4 linked regions of the Oryzias latipes genome follow. The protein of the gene in region 2 interacts with the protein of the main gene of each other region in a biochemical or structural test. Links are inferred from orthologs where the notes say so. Each region holds a gene or a part of one and is shown on either strand. Other genes may lie near its edges.

Region 1 (4,621 bases), on a different chromosome or scaffold from region 2:
GTATTCAGCCACCAACTATCACGGTGTCACTGTGTTGTTGACCATTGTGGAGATTTTTGCCAAAAAGAATTTTCGGTTTCTTCAATGTTGTTTTGACCACTAAATACATGTATTTTCCTTACCAAGTCTTGTTTTTTTTTATTCTTTGAAAAGTCATCAGTTCTTTAAGTCCTTAAGGCTAAATTCAGGCTTAAACTTTTTTAAATTTTTGAGATCAAGCTGCAGGGAAAACAGGGGCCAGTCAGTGGAAGAGTTATGCCAACGAATATTCAGTTTGACACCAAAAAGAGTCAAATCAAGAGGCCCTATGAACACAGAACGCTTAAAGTTCCACTCTGATCGTCTTTTGATCTATTAGAAAAGCGTTCCCTGTGCTTTTTAATTGTGCCACTTTTTGGCACAAATTGAAAAACGTATCGTTTTCTAAGACATAGTTTCTGCAGTGCAACAGTAAGTCATTAGAAAATCACCTCTGAGTTGTGGGCAGGACTGTTGGTGTGGAGCAATCCTGCCCCCCTTCCCCAAAGCACAGAGCAGGAAGCTTCTGACCCACCTAGGGTATTTTCTGCATATCAAATGCAACCTTTTTCAAACAGTATTTTTTTATCTGCTCCTGATTTACATTTGAATAAAGAAATACTCCGAAATGCAATTTGCAGCTAAATTTTCTTTATAAATGTCCTCCATCATGAGAAAAATGGCTGAAGAACATGTTAAAAACACAGAAAACACAATTTTCAGGTCTTTGATGAAAATCAACTGTGCTGTGAACCACTGAAATCAAAGGCAGGAGGTAGAAAATGAAATTACAAGCATAGATAAGGACAGCAAGAACTGAAGAAAAACCTGAAAATGTATCTTCAGAGCACTAATAATACATTGACAACCAAGAAATAACTGGAATCCAATTATATAAGATTAGATGATTGTACTATTTTCAGGCTGCTTTGGTTGTTGCAGGAATTTATCCAAATCAAATTTTCCTTTGAAATATTTACTGTAAATTATTTCATCTCTTAATAAATGAGTTCATTGCTTTTTTTGTGAAACCTTTTTATTAAAACAATATTTAATAAATAATAAAATTGGTTTAAAAGGGAAATTTAACAGCAAAAGATTAATAAACTAAAACAAATCAAACCAACTTGTGGATAAAATCAACAATTGTGAACTTCTAAATAGAGCAGACTCAGTAGTGTCCAGCCTACATGTATGAGAGGCTGGAAGAATGGTCATTAGCAAAGGGGAATAAGTAATTCCCAGACACTAGTTCTTTTTCACATCAAAAACAAAATGTTTTATTTTTTATTATTATTTTTTTATATGAACCCTTAATTTATTTCTGCACCAAATGTGTAAACGGCACAGAACTGTTTAAATTTGCCTTTTTACTGAATAATTAAAAAAAATGTTGAAACCCCCTAAAATATGTATATGTATTTCAAAACGTCCCGGAGAAATTGCGAAAAATGGGGGCTTGATAATAGAAAAACATAATCTCCGCCACTGTGAGACGCTGGGATGAGACGTACCGCCAGAGGGCGCTCATAAAATAAATCTTTTAGCCTTTCAGGCTGTTGTACTTCCGGGTCATGCAGACTCGTTTGTCGCGGCGGTGGACTGTTTTTGTCGCTTTGCTACACCTACGGTGTTCGTGGATTATATTCACCGAAAACTACTTAACTGCAGTGTGATATCAATCTTTATTATCGCCACAATGACCGAGGTGAGACTTTATTTGAGTTATTTGATTTTCTTTGGTCCACGCTTTAGACTCACACAGCACTGGACCCGTCTAACTACTGGATGTTAACGTTCTGAATCTTCACACGTTGTAGTGTATCCCCCCTGATAAATCACATGGACTCGTCTTTCAAGTAAACTTTTTTTTCCTTCTAATTGTTACAGGAAGTCCAGAAACACTCAGTCCACACTTTGGTCTTCAGATCCTTGAAAAGGACTCATGACATGTTCGTGGCTGACCATGCTAAAGCCGTCGCTTTAGATGATGAAAGGTATACTGAGCTTTTACATTTATGACTTCTGTATTTAAAATGTGTATCATCACTTTAGTTAAAACTCACGGTCATGCTAATCGTGCGTTCATAATATGTTTATTAGTTTATTATGCAATAGTTCACATCAAAAGGGTTACTTTAACCTTTTAGGCATGCATTGGGAGAAAATATATTTTTTCATGTTTTGATTATAAACATCTTTGGCACTTGGAGATGGTTTGTCTATATGTTTCCACTTCACGTGGGCACACGGGTGGGTTTGCGTTGAAGCTCCTCTTTTTTTTTTTCGTTTTAAGCCACAAGTTGAAGTTGGCCGTGAAGCTAAAGGCAGACTACAGTCCTGTGTTACACATGCCAGTGCTAAAAGAAGGAAAGGACAGGATGTCACAGTATCCAGACGGTCTCCACGACAACGAAGCTTACATGCAGCCGGGTGAGTGGGAAGCATCACCGTTCAGTGTTTTTGGTTTTAAATTGTAAAAATCTGACTTTTTTTTCTTGTTTGTCTTTGGTTTCCGACAACTTCAGCAGATGATCCTGAATATCTGATCACGGGAACGCACGCTTATCCCTCTGGACCTGGTAAATACTTTCCTTTTAGCCAAGCTTAAAGGAACTTTATTCATTTTTTTAGCCAGCTTTTTATTATCTATGTCTTTAACCCAACAGGAGTCGCCCTGACAGCTGACACAAAAGTGCACAGAAACCCCAGTGAGTCAGGAATCCACTCCTTGGCTCTGGCTTTACCACCATCACAAGCAAGGTAATCCTGTTCAGTCAATCAATACAAATAGTACTGAATCAACTTTTCGGGATTCATTGATATATCTATTTTTTGTCTTCTGATGGCTGTTTTAGACAAGAGTCCAGCCGCACTGCAGCCACAGTTGCAGAGATCCGTCGTGGAGCAGAAAGAGCTCACGCTCAGTCCACCGCTCTGGTACATCACAAGCTTCTTAAGCGCTTTTTTTTCTCACCCAGTCTTGGTTGACAAAATTCTAACGCAACAATCTGTTCGTTGCAGCTGCTCTTGGAAGGAGGCGGCACCAGAAATTCCAACCTCTTGAGGAGAACGCCGGTCATGCCCAAACCGCAGTGGCATCCTCCCTGGAAACTCTTTAGAGTAACTGCAAATTATCCTTGAACTCCTTTTCAGTTGTGTCAAATCCGGTGACGGAGGGGAAGCAACATCTCACGTGATTACTAAAAAGGTTTTTGTCACCTGACAGGTCATCAGCGGCCACCTGGGCTGGGTCAGGTCCATCGCTGTGGAGCCTGGAAATCAGTGGTTTGTGACAGGATCTGCAGATAGAACAATAAAGGTTATCTCTTCTCTATTTTTTATTTTATTTATACAATACGTTGTTCTGATTGTTTTTATACTGTTTTTACACTACAAAGCTTTTTTTCTTCTCCTTTTTGCATTTGTTGAGGTGGAACAGCAAAAAAAAAAAGAACCAGGAGTGTTTTGTTACAGGGAAAGGATATCATGAGACTTGCTTTTTCCTTCAGATCTGGGACCTGGCCAGTGGGAAGCTGAAACTGTCTCTGACTGGACACATCAGTACAGTGCGTGGAGTGGCGGTGAGCAGCCGCAGTCCGTACCTTTTCTCCTGCGGAGAGGATAAGCAAGTCAAATGCTGGGATCTAGAGTACAACAAGGTACAAGCTTCTCTTCACAATATCTCTAAAAAAAAACATTTTAGGGCTGTTTGAATATAAACAAAGACAAAAAGTTCAGTCATTTCTTTCTTTTTCTTCATACGTCAGAGTTTTGGTGTTTTAGTGACATGAGTATTTTGTGTTTTAGGTAATCCGGCACTATCATGGCCACCTCAGTGCTGTGTATGATTTGGACCTTCATCCAACTATTGATGTCTTGATGACGTGCAGCAGAGATGCCACAGCGAGGGTAAGATCGGAATCCACTCATTACTCTTTATATATGTCACACATGGAAGAAAAATCCTACATGACAGACAAGAAGTGACAAAGCTCAGATCTTTAAATAAATAAATACAGATGTATTAAAAATAATCCTGCTCAAATGTCTAGAGCTGCAGAAAAAAATTGTTTTTGTTTTATCATAGGAACCATAGTTGGGGTTTTTGGAGAAAGCAAAACACTTTTGAGTTCTTTTGTGTATGAACAAATGTAAACGCCCCTGTAAACAAAAGTTCAATTTAAGGACACTGATCCAAAAAAGAAAAACATTCCTCGTTTATCCAAAATACACCATGAGGGTCTGAAATCGTGGCAAAAACAAGGAAGTCAGACTATAATTGTTAGAATTAGGAATTCTACAATTAGTCCCTGGAAAGGAAATTTCTTTTTTTTAATGCCAATATTTTTAAAGAATGATATTTGCTGTGCATTTATCGAAAATGCAACTTTTTTGTTTCATTCTGAAGCTGCAGATTCATCTGGCATCAATTTAAAGCACTTTAATTGTCTTAGTTTATTCAAATATTATAGTGAAAAATCTGCCCTGCTACTCGAAGGCTGTATGGGAGAGTAGAGAAAGAAAAAACTGGACATTTACTGACACAGATAAGAAATTATAGAATCTTTTTTAGATGAGAGCGGATCAGAAAGTGTGGTAT
Region 2 (3,744 bases):
ATTCTTTGTGGAACTTTGTGAAGTCTGCCTTTAAGGAGCAGCTGTGCTTCTGTGTTTGCAGACGAGCTGGAGATGCTGTCTGAAGCCAGGGCTCGCCTGGCCAACACACAGGGCAAGAAAGCCAAGAGGAAGGCCAGAGAGAAACAGCTGGAGGAGGCCAGGTCATCCTTCATATGATGAAAACCTCCAAAGCTGTTGTTTCCTGATCAAATAACACGGTATGACTTGGTTCTGCTGCAGGCGTTTGGCTGCCCTGCAGAAACGCAGGGAGCTGAGAGCAGCAGGAATTGCTGTTGCGAGGAAGAGGAAGAAGAAGCGAGGAGTGGACTACAATGCTGAAATCCCGTTTGAAAAGAAGCCCGCTCCGGTACTGTCAGATGAGCTCCAGCTCCCATCAACAACCCATGAACCCACAACAGCAGAGCACAACCTGAAGCTGTGTGCTTGATGTGTTTGAAGGGTTTCTATGACACCAGCATGGAAAATTACGAAGCGCTGGAGCCCAACTTCAAACGGCTGCGACAGCAGCACCTGGATGGAGAACTACGCAAGTCAGTCCCACCTGCACGGTTTGATGCACTGCAAGGCATGAGCCAAAAACACTCAACCTGTGCTGTTTTGATGCAGTGAGCGTGAAGAGAGGGACCGGAAGAAAGACAAACAGAAAATAAAGAAGAAGAAGGAGAGCGACCTGCCATCTGCCATCCTTCAGACCAGCGGCGTGGCAGAGTTCACCAAGAAACGCTCCAAGCTAGTGCTACCTGCACCTCAGGTACCACACTGACCTGCTCACACACACACACACACACACAGACACACACCCTGACTAGACTCCCCTCTTGTAGATCAGTGATGCTGAGCTGGAGGAAGTGGTCAAACTGGGTGTGGCCAGTGAAGTGGCACGCCAGGCTGCCGAGGAGAGTGAAAGTGGAAACTCCGCCTCCTCCGCCCTTTTGTCAGAGTACAACATCACAAACAACATGGCTGCCGGACTGCGGACCCCTCGCACCCCTGCGGCTCAGGACAGGATAATGCAGGTATCTGAAGAAGGCAGAGGTTTTGCCTTGTTTGTGTCATAATCTGAGGTGATTTCTGTTTGATTTGGGGGTGGGGGTTCTGGATGTTCTCTGGTTCTGAAGAACCAGGCCCAGATATGCTGCATTTAGCTTCTTAATGATTGGACTGATTGCTCTGTGGAACAGTGGCTTTCTCTGTTGAAATGTTTATGCAGGGTTCTCTTTGGCGTGGCTCCTCCCACTATCGTCATGGCGTTGGGTTGTGTTTGCATTTCTCAGTTTGCTTTCATGACAACACGGTACAAACAGCAGGGGGAGCATTGACACCACAAAACCCCCTCTGTGGGGGTTATCCTGTGCCAGAGGTGCAATCTTTAACTTGCTGGTGGCTCCCGTCTGTGAGATGAGTCAAAGTCAGCTTATTGGTCAATATGCTGCACACACGTGATAAACAGCACAGAGGAGATTTCTTTCTCTCAGCCCACAGTGAGAGCAGCCTATAAAAATAACAATAAGGATAAAAACAGCAAGTTCATCTTTCCCGGTTTACCTCGTTCTTTTAGAGCGATCATGCTGCTTTCTTTAAACAGCGCACCCCGTTCTGTGTCCTGATTGGCTGGAGACCCTGTCAATCAATCTCCTCCGTGCCGTGTCTCCTGAACAGAAACGCAGAGCTCTTCAGATCAGAAATCTGTGATCGATCAGATCATTGTTTTCCTTTATAAGATCCTGGATCTAATTTCTATGAAGGTTTGAGAAATTAAACAAAAGACAAGGTGAAAATGTTCATGTCTGTCTGAGAAAAGTGTGTTTATGCAGTGGGGAGTTTTACTGCCATAAATCATAAACGTCTATAATCATTCTCTGTGGATTTCATAGATCACGGTTTTTTATTATTTATATTTTTAGAATGTAACTCCTGCAATAAATGAGGATTACTGGATGAGAAACAGACGTGCAGGACACAGCTGCTCAGCTTTAGCACAAACTGTGAGACGTGAGGAGCTGCAGCCTCAAAGTCTTTATTAGAATAATGACGGGAGAAGATCCACTATTTATTGTTGTTTTTGTGTTTTTTTTAAGATCAGTTATTTATTTTGTTAAAAGGATCATGAATGAATGAAACTTTATTCATTCAGCACTTTATAACTCCTTGAAGGTACCAAAGAGCTTCACAAAAAAAAAGGTCTAAAATGGGAACAAAAGTTTTAAACTAAAAACTGTAGAATATTCTGCTTTAGAATATCATTTTCCTTTCAAATTATTTCATCTACATTCCATGTTATTTCATTCTCACTCCACACATCTGCTCCTGGTCCGGCCCTTCTATTGAATTTTAGAACCCAATGTGGCCCCCCAGTTAAAATAATTGCCCCCCCCCCCCCCCCCCACACACACACACACACTTGCTGCAGTGACGGTATATTAGGTTAGTATCTATAAAAATTGTCTAAGTATACCTAAAATTGTATTTTTTAACATTAACAAAAGAAAACAGCAATGTAAATCCATTTTCAACAAATATTATATTTCTTTAGCCACAGAAACTCTGTTAGTCTAAAACAGAAAAGAAGCTTAAAGAGCCTGAAATAAAAAATCTGTCAGTTATTATTTAAACTAGAAACATTTTGATCAACTGAACCATTTGATGCTGAGAAAAAGAATTCAATCAATAATATTAAATGTAAATTGATCTGAAACATTAACACAGCAGCACCAATAGATTTAATGTTTTTAGTCTGAGGAAATAGATAAAAACATTGTTCTGATTTTATTTCTAAATGATGGATAATTTATGATCTGTGACGCTGTTTTCCTGCATTACCTGCTGTCTGCATGTCAAATACTGACACCAACTAAACAACAGGCAGACAAAGAAAACATTGATGGAAAATAAAAACACGTCATCATAATGTCTACAATAGTTCATAAAGAATGACATTATTAGCATGAGCTAAAGGCACGTGATGATCCTTGTGTTGGGCAATAGAGGCAGCTCTCTGTGTGCTGTGTTCCACTTGCAGCCTGAGCCCACTACCCCTCCCCTCTCCTTCTCACACACGCGTGTGACAGGAGACATGAGCAGCTGCAGGGACGGCAGTTCACAGTTTCAGGCTGTTACAAACTCTGATAGAACAGATCAGGAAACCAACAGTGACACAGATTTTTTTTTCAAGCACTGAGCTGCTGTCACCACCGCCCCCCGTTAAATTTGCGCCCCGGACAATTGCCCATATTACCTGTGCCTAAAACCACTACTACTGCGCGCCCCCCCTGGCACCTTAAGAAGCACTGTGTTAGAGTAACAAGCAACCATATGTTGTCTATGCAACTGTAATTGTCCCTTTAAAAAGTAATAATAAATCAATGAATAAATGAGTTATTTAACATTGAGGAGTAGTTACATTTATTTTTCATTACATTTAGTTACATGTAGAAGTTATATCGGGCCCTTTGAGGACAACCACTATGCTGATGTGGCCCTCAGTGAAAATGAGTCGGACACCCCTGGTTTAAAGTGACAACAGTGCTAAGAAACAGACTGAAGTGTCTCTGGGATGGAGGTGAGGGGTCACCTTCAATCCTGATGGCTTTGCGGGTGGTAAATGTCCGAGAGGCCGGTGAGGGGGACACCGAGGATCTTCTCAGCTGTTCCCACGATGTGCTGCAGGGACTTCCGGCAGCCAACAGCGATGCTGTTGGTGATGAACCTGTCTGTACCACAGAG
Region 3 (4,493 bases), on a different chromosome or scaffold from region 2:
TGTCGATGTCTGTCAGCTCCTGCAGCAGGTCCACCACCGCGATGGCGACATGTGCTTTGGGTTGAGGACAATAAAACTGACCGACAACAGCCCCGCCCCAAACAGACAACTAAATCATATCAATAATAACACATGTGGGTGAGCCCAAAAGTCTTAGTTTGGTTGCTTTCATGTTATCTTAAAGATAGATATTATTAACTGCTACAACAGGTTTTCTAGAGTTTTTCTAATCAGAGCTAACAAATCCAAAATCGCTGATGCATTATGTTTTATATAGAGCTCCAGCCCCCAGATAAACCAGTTTGCAGGTCAAAATCCATGTGAAGGATATCTGTGTTTTCATGGCTTAGAAGGCCCAACAGGGAGTGGACGGCATTGAGCTCCACCAGCAGGTGGTAGAGATCCGGCATGGTGGCGATCACGTGCATTTCCTGGATGATGTCGTTGAGATCCAGCTCCGACTCCATGAACCTGGTTCGGAAACAAAGTTAATAGTTTTCCAAAAAAAGAACATTTAAACAAAATCTTTGATGTAAAAAATAATAAAGGAAAAGCATGTTTACTTCTCAGGATTGTCAGGAAACTTGATCCTCAGTTCCTGGTTTTTGTATGACCTTTTCTCAAAGGTCAGGATCATTTTCTTCACTGTGCTTTCATCCACCGGCTCGGCCTGTTTGATCCGTGGAACATCAGAGGACATGGCAGTGGTGAAGAAAATAGAGGAGGAAAAAGGGGGCAAAAGCTTTTTAGGTCGAAGCAGCTGCTGCCGGAGCAAAGAGCCATCACTGCGACATTAAACGTGTGAGTGGAGTCATTTTTTTGCATCAATTAGGGTACATTTTACAGAAAAAGGGGATGCGTTTGACCTCCTGAAGGCTTAAAAGCTGTAAAGTGCTAGACGGATAATGACCGGTTAGGACATTTCAACTGCCTGACATTATGGAGAAGAGGAGCCATTAGCTCTGAGAGGCCCTTGACAGAGTAAATTTTTGAAAATGCCTGCAGTGTGGGGATAATATGAACTGAATTATCAATGTGCAGTCTTCAAATGCACTGCAATATGGTAACACTGGTTCTAGTGTTACTCCTTTGGAAATTCTGACGCAGCTGCATTTTCCACCGTGGCCTAACTTAAGAGCTTCGCCTTCTGGCTTTTAATGCCACAAAAAAAAAAAAAAAAAACAGGTACGTTTACCAACATTTACTCATCACCGTGGTCTCTCTTCATTTTTATCTGTTATCAATACCAAAAGGATGGTTACATTCGCACACATGCGTTTTTGTTTTTGATAATTGTTTTCACCTCGCACCTTGAAAAATGGACACAATGAACATTTAAATAAGGAGAAAGAACCTTCTAACACTTATTAGTTCTTCTCAGTCACTTCCTTCCCTCATTTTGTCCAATTCTTACCATGTGGTTGTTAGCAGAAGTTGAGTAGTCGTGGCAACGACACAACTATTCATCTATGCTTAGACAGTAGTGCAAAAGAACCAAAAGCATTAAGCTCCTCCAAATGTATGCCGTATTGCAAATGTTCATCACTTCTGCATCATTCCTGCACTCTCTAAAGAGGCAGCTCTGCATAACTCGCTTTAAATTACAAACAAAACAGCATTTTTCCACCTAAAGAGGAATCAAATGGTCTCTGTGATAAAAAAAGGAAGAAGTCTGAACTACAGACACAGCCTTTTGGAAGAAAGAAAAAAAACGACCAGTAAATAAAAACAGCTTTCCCACCTCGGGTTCTTCTTCATCCTGGTCCATCAGTTTTTCCAGTATCCTCTTCTTGTCCCCGGTCTGCTCTTCGCCGTCCCCCGGTTCAGCACGACCCTCTGATCCCGCTCCAGCTTCCCGATGTCTGGCCGGGTCCCGGGATCCCAGTCCCTTCTGCTGCTTCCCTCCTCTGGAATCATCGTCTCCTCCTGCTGCTCTTCCTTCTTGCTCCCTGGGACGTTTTGCTCCTCTATCGGGCTAAGAGTGGAAAACCAGTGACATGCAATAAGGAGCACAGCGACTGAACGTGATGAAGAAATATCAGGTGAACAGGCAATGATGAATGTCCAATGTATGAAAACAATTGTTCGGAAAAGCTGCAGCAAAATAAGTCAATAAAGTCCAGTACAATTTAAATGATGTGATTACTTCACCTGTAAATTAATATTACTTAAATTGTTTAAACAGTAAGAAGAATGAGCTTAATAGGGCATCTGAGTAATGATTATTATTAGGAAATAGGTAAAAATCCATAACAAGATAACAGCCATAGCAGCTTTCAGCATTAATGATAGGAACTTGTTGGTACTTTTTCAAAACGCAAATGAAAAACACAGCACAGGAGTAAGATTTTTGAACTTTATTACATAAAATAATCACATTTATATTAAAGGATGACATGACAGATTATTTCTAAGAACTTTTAGGGAATGACTGAGTGAAACGTCATCCATCCAGCAGCCAAAAACATTTGACACCAAGTCCGGATTTTTGGTTTTCTCCCAATATTATTTCTTTTAATAAACCCCTAATGCAAATGTTTAAATGATTTTTTTATCGTTAATAATAAAAATTTGCAGCCAGCAGCACTGAAGTAAACCAAGCTAATTTAGTTTTAGCGCTAAAAACTGTGTACCGAGATGCAGAGCAGTCTTTATTATTTTGCTCCGCCAACAACATAATGTACAAACTTATAAAAACAATAATCACAATTTTAACTAAAAAAAAAAACAAAAGACAGAGAGTAAAGCGAGAAGAACTAGAAGCTCAAGCTGAAGTTCAAAACTGTAGCCAGGAGCTGAAGCTCAGCTGCTACATCTTGAATGAATGACCGGAGGCTGAGAAAGAAACACATCTTCGTACCTGATAGTTTAAAAGTTCTCCAACATCCATTTATCCAGCCGGGAACTCTCACAATAAAACACAGTCTGCTTAGAACGCAATGAGGGGAAAGTGCGGCTGTGCGACTAGCTGCACGGCTAACTACAAGCTACCCAGAAACATGCCTGCCGTAAAGCAGGGCTGCCTGTCGTCATGGCAACCTGATGTCGCGACACTCCATTATCTCATTTTGCGTCTAAATGAACTGGCATTGGAATTTTGGAAGAATACCAAAAGCAGAACTGTTAAACAGTTAAAGAATAAATGATCCACTGTCTCAATGTCCTTTAAACAAAAACTGCAATCATTCTCTTCAAATCCAAAACGAAGTATCAAAAATTCCTTGGATGGGTAAACATCACTAATTATTTTAAAATGAATGTCTTTTACTTTTGGTAAAATACAAAATGTAAAGAAATTCGACCTTAAATCAATGACCTCTTCTTTAGAGAAGTGTTTAGAAATGCTTTTTTTCTGATGAGATGTTTGGAAGACTTCTTTCACAAACAATCTTCGTATGAAGCTGTTTGCTAGTTCTGTCTTTGTAACTGGCTGTCCGTCCAATAGGAGTGAAGGAAGTTTTAATTGAACTTTGTTTAACAATAGATTTTGTGATACTTGGATCAACGACCGAGGAAGAGCTTTGTTCACAGCATCATATTGTTTCCGATCAAATAATTGAAATTTAGAACTAAAATTTTCAAATGTCAAAATATTTCCAGAATGATCAGCAAATAACTGAAAAAAGCGAATCTATTATCTATTGCATATCGAGGAAATATCAAGTATTAGATCATTTAAACAACACAACAAAAATATTCCAGTATAAATTTTGAACATTCAGATAGATCTAAAAAATAAAAAAAAGGATTTATAACTTCATACAAGTGAGTATGGATTTTTATTAAATTTGGTCTTTTTTCTTTTAGGCCTCAGTCTAAATATTACTCATTCCATATAGTGTCACGGAATTTTCTAAAGTTATGATATTCACCAGAGATGAGTTAACTTTGTGCACAGCTTTCGTTGTGTTCAAAGATGTGTTTAAAAAATGCAAACAAACAAATAAATACGATTTTCCCTTTTGTCATCTTTTAAAATTGTATTCGTGGTAAATTATATGAGCACAGTCCCTAGTTTAAACAATTTCACACAATAACATCCCTTAATGCTTAAACTGGTGGCCTGACCACACAAAAGAAAAGGCACTTGGGAGTCGGGCTGCACGATATGAGAAAAACTCGCGATATGCGATGTTGGTGATTACTATTGCGATAACGATATCATTTGCGGTATATAAACAAATAGCAAAACAACCAAAAACATCAATCCCATTTCACTGCAACAGTTTAAAAATTATACTCCAAATGACCCTCGTCGACATAGGAGGCAAACATCAAGGGCTCATCTGATTGGTCAACAATGTAAACGGGTCCTTCCGATTGGTCAAATGCATAAAGGGATTTATTTCATTTGTTCAATATTTCAAGCTGCCATGAGTTTGTTTTAGCACATTTAAGGTAACCGTTTATTGCGATTATCGCCATCTTTTGCAGTATGCATATTGCACAGCTTGATGTTGCGATAACGATAAATTTGCGGTATATTGTGCAGG
Region 4 (4,641 bases), on a different chromosome or scaffold from region 2:
TCCCGATTGACGATGTCACGTTACCGAGCGCGCACGTGACGCACCTCCTTCTGTCGACCGGGCGGAAGGGGTGGAGCTTTCCGTTGATGTTAGCTGGTTTCTGCCGGCTACTTCGTGGTTTAATATGTTGCAGGATTTTTTTCCTTTTTTATGTTTTGCTGGATTTTCTTTTATTTTTAATTTATATTCGCACATTGGTAATATAAACTGCAAAACTGATAAATAAATGTAAAAAAGATAATCATAAAGACATAGAATGATAGAAACTTCTGTGAAGCAAGTGAAAGTACATTTAAAGTACTTATGTTCTGCACCTTGATGACGTCATAATGTGTACATTATACAATTACACATTTTCTTACTGAAAGTATTTATTTAGCTATATTAAATTCATACAAATATCCACCTGAACTTAGCAGAAAACAAATGTTGATCTTGTGAATGTTCAAAAAAGAAAAAGGCTTTTCTTCAATTCTTCACCCCCCTGATGTTTTCAGTTCAAGTCCCTAGATTTTCACTGAAATCTAATTTTGCAAAGCATTATTGCCTTTTTATTATTCACATATATAAAAAAAATCTCCCCACTTAATTTTCTGCACCGTCTTTAGTTATGCAATTCTAAGTTTATTACTGAATTTCTTTATACAAAAACAATCTTGCTAGAAAATGAATTGTAGGAAAGACGCAAAATATTTCTCACTAACGTGCAATTTGTGTCCAACACATTATTTATGGTATTTCTCCACATTTTTAAGTAAAGCCAACAAATTAATTCATTTGAAAAAAAAATATTTTTATTTTATCAAAGGCAGAGCTGCAACAAGTACAATGCTGTTTAATGAGCAATACAGGAAAAAGGTTTAAACTGAACAAATAAAATGAGAATGAAACTTTGGATGGCAAAATAAACAAAAAAAAAACAAAGTCTTCCTCTTTTTCAGGATGTTTTACCTCATTGAAGCTGTGCATAAAGCTAAGTAGGTTATCAATTCATTTTTGACAAATTACAATGTGAAGTTGTACAATATGCTATAAAACCCCCTCTTCTGACAAGTTAATTAAAAAAGAAAAATGTGTAATCAAATAAAACAGCTGGCACTGACAACAGGAATAGTTTAAGCTTTTGTTCCAGCAAAACAAAATGTACTTTTTTTTTAAACCATCAAAGTCAATAAGCATGTTCTTATTATGCGGCTGTGGTATTAATGGAAGATGGTTTCATATAATCTCTTCCAAACATGTGAACTAACACACTAAAAAAAAGTTGCCTTATTTCTAAAAATGACTATTTCCAGGACAGAATCAGCTCAGACACGCAGATCACACCATCATCATCCCCCCCTCAGCTGGCAACGTAAATCCTCTACAAACTGTAAAATCGGAGACTTCTGTCCATTCCTGCGGATGTCAGGAACTTGGCATGTTCTCCAAAGGCCACCCCAGTCACCAGTCCAGTGTGGTCTATTAGTGAAAACAAACACATAAATGATGTATTCCTTTCTCAAGGAAAAAAGTCATTTCAAGAACAAAAAGCAGCTAAATATTTTGATTAAGTAACTGCTTCTTCACCCCTCACCTGTAAAGTTGAGTACTTCAGACCACTGTTTGCAGATGTAGACACGAATGTCAGTTCCTGCAACGGCCAGGTAGGTACCGCTCTGATCAAACACAAGGGACTTGACCTGAAACACAAACAGGAAAAAGATGCAGCTCATGAGCTCCCTATGCAAATAAAATAAAAAAAACAGGGTATAATACATTTCCTCACTTTAACATCAAGCCAGATGTTTGTTTATATTTCTATTTAATGGTCATTTATGGTTTCTCCACGCTGAATGTGTGGGGGGAGGGGCGGGGATTAGAGGCATTGTGTCTTAATTCCTACTTTTTTTCGGTAAATGTGTAGGTTTGCTTTGTTTTTTTAAGTTAGAAAAATATTTTTATCCTGTTAGCAACAAAGTAAAAATAGCTTTAAAAATAAAGTTTGAATTTATCCCGAAACCATCCTAATATATACAGTATATTATACAGTCCTCAAGTTAGAAATAGTTTACAAGCTGAAAAGTTATACATTAAAGTTGACATTTTGGAAATATTGGTGAGTATGTAAACACAAATACTTCTAATTTCAGGATGCAGAAGAAAAATAATCCTAATAACTGCCGTTCCTCCTTTAACTGCTGTTATTGTGTGAGAGAAACCTCGTACCTCGTAGTTGTTGTCCAGGGTGATGGTCTTAAAGTTCTTCAACTTCCTCAGATCCCAGAGTTTCAGAGAGCTGTCCTGAGCCCCTACAGTAAAAAAAAAGCATGCAGGAGATTAAAACATGGCAACAAATCCCCATAAAGTCTTCTGCTAATCAACTGCACAACACAAACGCAATCAGAATATAGACTGCCGTCACATTGAAGCAATCTCTAATATTCAAAAGCTTAAAACATGAATCATTACAGCTCGATGGTGTACTCATCAAAATGTACACGTGTGCTGTGTGGAGGAGGAGGGTTTCATTTGTGCCTCACCTGTAGCCAGATAGTATCCGTTCTCAGAGAAGGCGATGGAGGTCACAGGTCCAGAGTGGCCGGGGAAGTTGGCCACATTGGTTCTCTCCTTTAGATCCCAGATCTTGATCTGAGAATCAGCAGTGCCAGTTCCAAAGATCAGACCGTCGGGGTGGAACTGAGCACACGTGAGAGCTGTGGAACCCAAAAGGAAACATTGGCAAAATGTGGAGGATGAGTCCAAGCAGCAGTCTGATGGTAGAGGGACTCAGAAGGCGCTTACCACAGCCAGCACTTTCATCAGTAACTTTGGTGAGGACTTTACCAGTCTGGATATCAGAAAAGGCCCAGTACTGCAAAAAAAAAAAAAACCCACAATGTTGTTAAACGGAGGAACACAATTTTTGTCATTTGATAGCACAATGTTGGGGTTGAGGCTCTACACAGACCTGATCCTCAGAGGAGCTGAGCAGATAATCTCCAGTGGCGTGCAGAGACAGACCTGTCACGCCCGCCTCGTGGGCTCGCACCACCTGCACACAGTTCCCTCCGGTGACGGACCACACGCGGATGGTGGTGTCAGGAGAGGCCGAGAAGACCACAGACTAGACAGGTCAGAAAGCAGCGGAAAAGTCCTCCCATTAAGATATGAAAGGACATTTTAGCTCACAGAGGTAAGTAGAAGAAACAGAAGACTTACCTGAGATGGGTGGTAAATGACAGAGGTCACTTTCTTAGTGTGACCTTTAAGTGTCGCCACAATCTGCTCTTCACTCTTGTCAAACACAACAACGTTCTTATCAGCTCCACCTAAACAAACAGAGTTAAAGGCACATCAACTCTTTTTTGCATAGAACACCACCACTACATTTATTCAACTGTTGAGGAGATTTAAGCAGCAGATTTTAAGAGTATAATTTTATTTTTTTACAGCACATTGTGTCCTGATTGGCTGGGGAACTTGTGAATCAATCTCTTCTGTGTCGTTTCTCAACAGAATTTGTTCAGATTGTCAAATTCACATAAACCTTTGTTTTCATTTATTATAGTGAACTTTTTTTCCCCAATGGATGTTTGAACTTTGAGAGTTAAAACAAGAGAGAAAAGTATGAAAATGTGAATGTCTGTCTGAGGAAAGTGAGGGATTTACTGCCGTAAAACATCTAGAACTGGAGTGCTCATTATGTTGAAGGACATGTGGGTAGATCTCCAGCCATCAAAGAGAAATAATCCAAAAAACATATATATACTTTTTTTTTTAATCTGTCAATCATCTTCCTCACCGAGAAGTGCATGATTTGATTGACATGTAGATCGGTCAAAAAAACATCCTCTCATCCATACGTTTATACAGCACATGCGTGTGTGTACGGCACATTCTTTCTGCGTTTGGAGAGCCACTAGCGGCCTCGCTGTGCGCGGACTGTTTAGTGAGGCCTGGGTCGCCCAGCATGCCTCCTGGAGCGAGACCGAGACCCCCCGTCTGACCCAGCCGTCCTGTCTTGGCGCCTGTGCCCGGTCGGGGGATCTGAGCCCACTAAGCCAGCAGTGTCGTCGTGAAGCATGTGCTTCTGGAGCTCTGTCCACGGGCCAGTGGCCGCTGTTCGCTCAATCATGGTTAAGCCTGCCGCGCTTTTCAAATGTCCTACCTTCTCCAACACGGTTTACAGCAGAACATAGAGGGCAATAGTCACTGCTTTTTGTTTTCACAACAGAACGCCTTATGTGTTCCAAATTATGTATTACTACAAAAATAATATTAATACACACAACAAGGCTTTCTCCTTACAAAGATGTGCATACTCTTACTCTGTAGCTTTTGAATTTTTAGTACATAAACAGTATTTTAGACAAAATACTGCACTGGTTCTCAGCTCAAAATACTGTAGGTAATTCTTTTGGAGCTTGTCGTCTCAAAAGTAGCTTGCCTGCCAAAAAGAAAATGTGGGCACCCCCATAAAAAAAAAAAAAAAAAAGAATACCAGTACTTTGTAGATCTCACATATTGTGGGTTATTTTTTAAAATGCAACTCCTGTTATAAACAAAGCACTGATGCTCCACTTGCACCTTTCAGCTTTTGAATTCAAGTCTCTCCTGGGTGCTGTGCTGAAAAAAGGCTTCAGTCAGGGAGAAGCAGCA

Evidence for each region.
Region 1: the proteins of cdc5l (region 2) and plrg1 form a complex in vitro, tested with the Homo sapiens proteins (3 studies listed by BioGRID, with this or other methods). The link is inferred for Oryzias latipes from reciprocal best matches to the Homo sapiens genes CDC5L and PLRG1.
Region 3: the proteins of cdc5l (region 2) and ctnnbl1 form a complex in vitro, tested with the Homo sapiens proteins (3 studies listed by BioGRID and IntAct, with this or other methods). The link is inferred for Oryzias latipes from reciprocal best matches to the Homo sapiens genes CDC5L and CTNNBL1.
Region 4: the proteins of cdc5l (region 2) and prpf19 form a complex in vitro, tested with the Homo sapiens proteins (2 studies listed by BioGRID, with this or other methods). The link is inferred for Oryzias latipes from reciprocal best matches to the Homo sapiens genes CDC5L and PRPF19.

Annotation. Positions count from the first base shown.
Region 1 is NC_019859.2:20,800,816-20,805,436, forward strand, and holds the start of plrg1 (pleiotropic regulator 1), read left to right. Parts: upstream 1-1,568; 5' UTR 1,569-1,717; coding exon 1,718-1,726; intron 1,727-1,908; coding exon 1,909-2,015; intron 2,016-2,314; coding exon 2,315-2,451; intron 2,452-2,546; coding exon 2,547-2,600; intron 2,601-2,687; coding exon 2,688-2,781; intron 2,782-2,876; coding exon 2,877-2,958; intron 2,959-3,042; coding exon 3,043-3,141; intron 3,142-3,247; coding exon 3,248-3,340; intron 3,341-3,530; coding exon 3,531-3,680; intron 3,681-3,828; coding exon 3,829-3,930; intron 3,931-4,621. UniProt on the Homo sapiens protein: Involved in pre-mRNA splicing as component of the spliceosome. Component of the PRP19-CDC5L complex that forms an integral part of the spliceosome and is required for activating pre-mRNA splicing.
Region 2 is NC_019873.2:1,351,088-1,354,831, reverse strand, and holds part of cdc5l (cell division cycle 5-like protein), read left to right. Parts: intron 1-61; coding exon 62-161; intron 162-240; coding exon 241-367; intron 368-459; coding exon 460-551; intron 552-627; coding exon 628-772; intron 773-845; coding exon 846-1,037; intron 1,038-3,744.
Region 3 is NC_019865.2:1,925,347-1,929,839, forward strand, and holds the start of ctnnbl1 (beta-catenin-like protein 1), read right to left. Parts: upstream 3,029-4,493; 5' UTR 2,891-3,028; coding exon 2,861-2,890; intron 1,976-2,860; coding exon 1,742-1,975; intron 671-1,741; coding exon 564-670; intron 472-563; coding exon 332-471; intron 52-331; coding exon 1-51. UniProt on the Homo sapiens protein: Component of the PRP19-CDC5L complex that forms an integral part of the spliceosome and is required for activating pre-mRNA splicing.
Region 4 is NC_019868.2:15,893,840-15,898,480, forward strand, and holds the end of prpf19 (pre-mRNA-processing factor 19), read right to left. Parts: intron 3,312-4,641; coding exon 3,202-3,311; intron 3,107-3,201; coding exon 2,951-3,106; intron 2,855-2,950; coding exon 2,785-2,854; intron 2,697-2,784; coding exon 2,523-2,696; intron 2,292-2,522; coding exon 2,209-2,291; intron 1,683-2,208; coding exon 1,577-1,682; intron 1,462-1,576; coding exon 1,364-1,461; 3' UTR 773-1,363; downstream 1-772. UniProt on the Homo sapiens protein: Ubiquitin-protein ligase which is a core component of several complexes mainly involved pre-mRNA splicing and DNA repair. Required for pre-mRNA splicing as component of the spliceosome.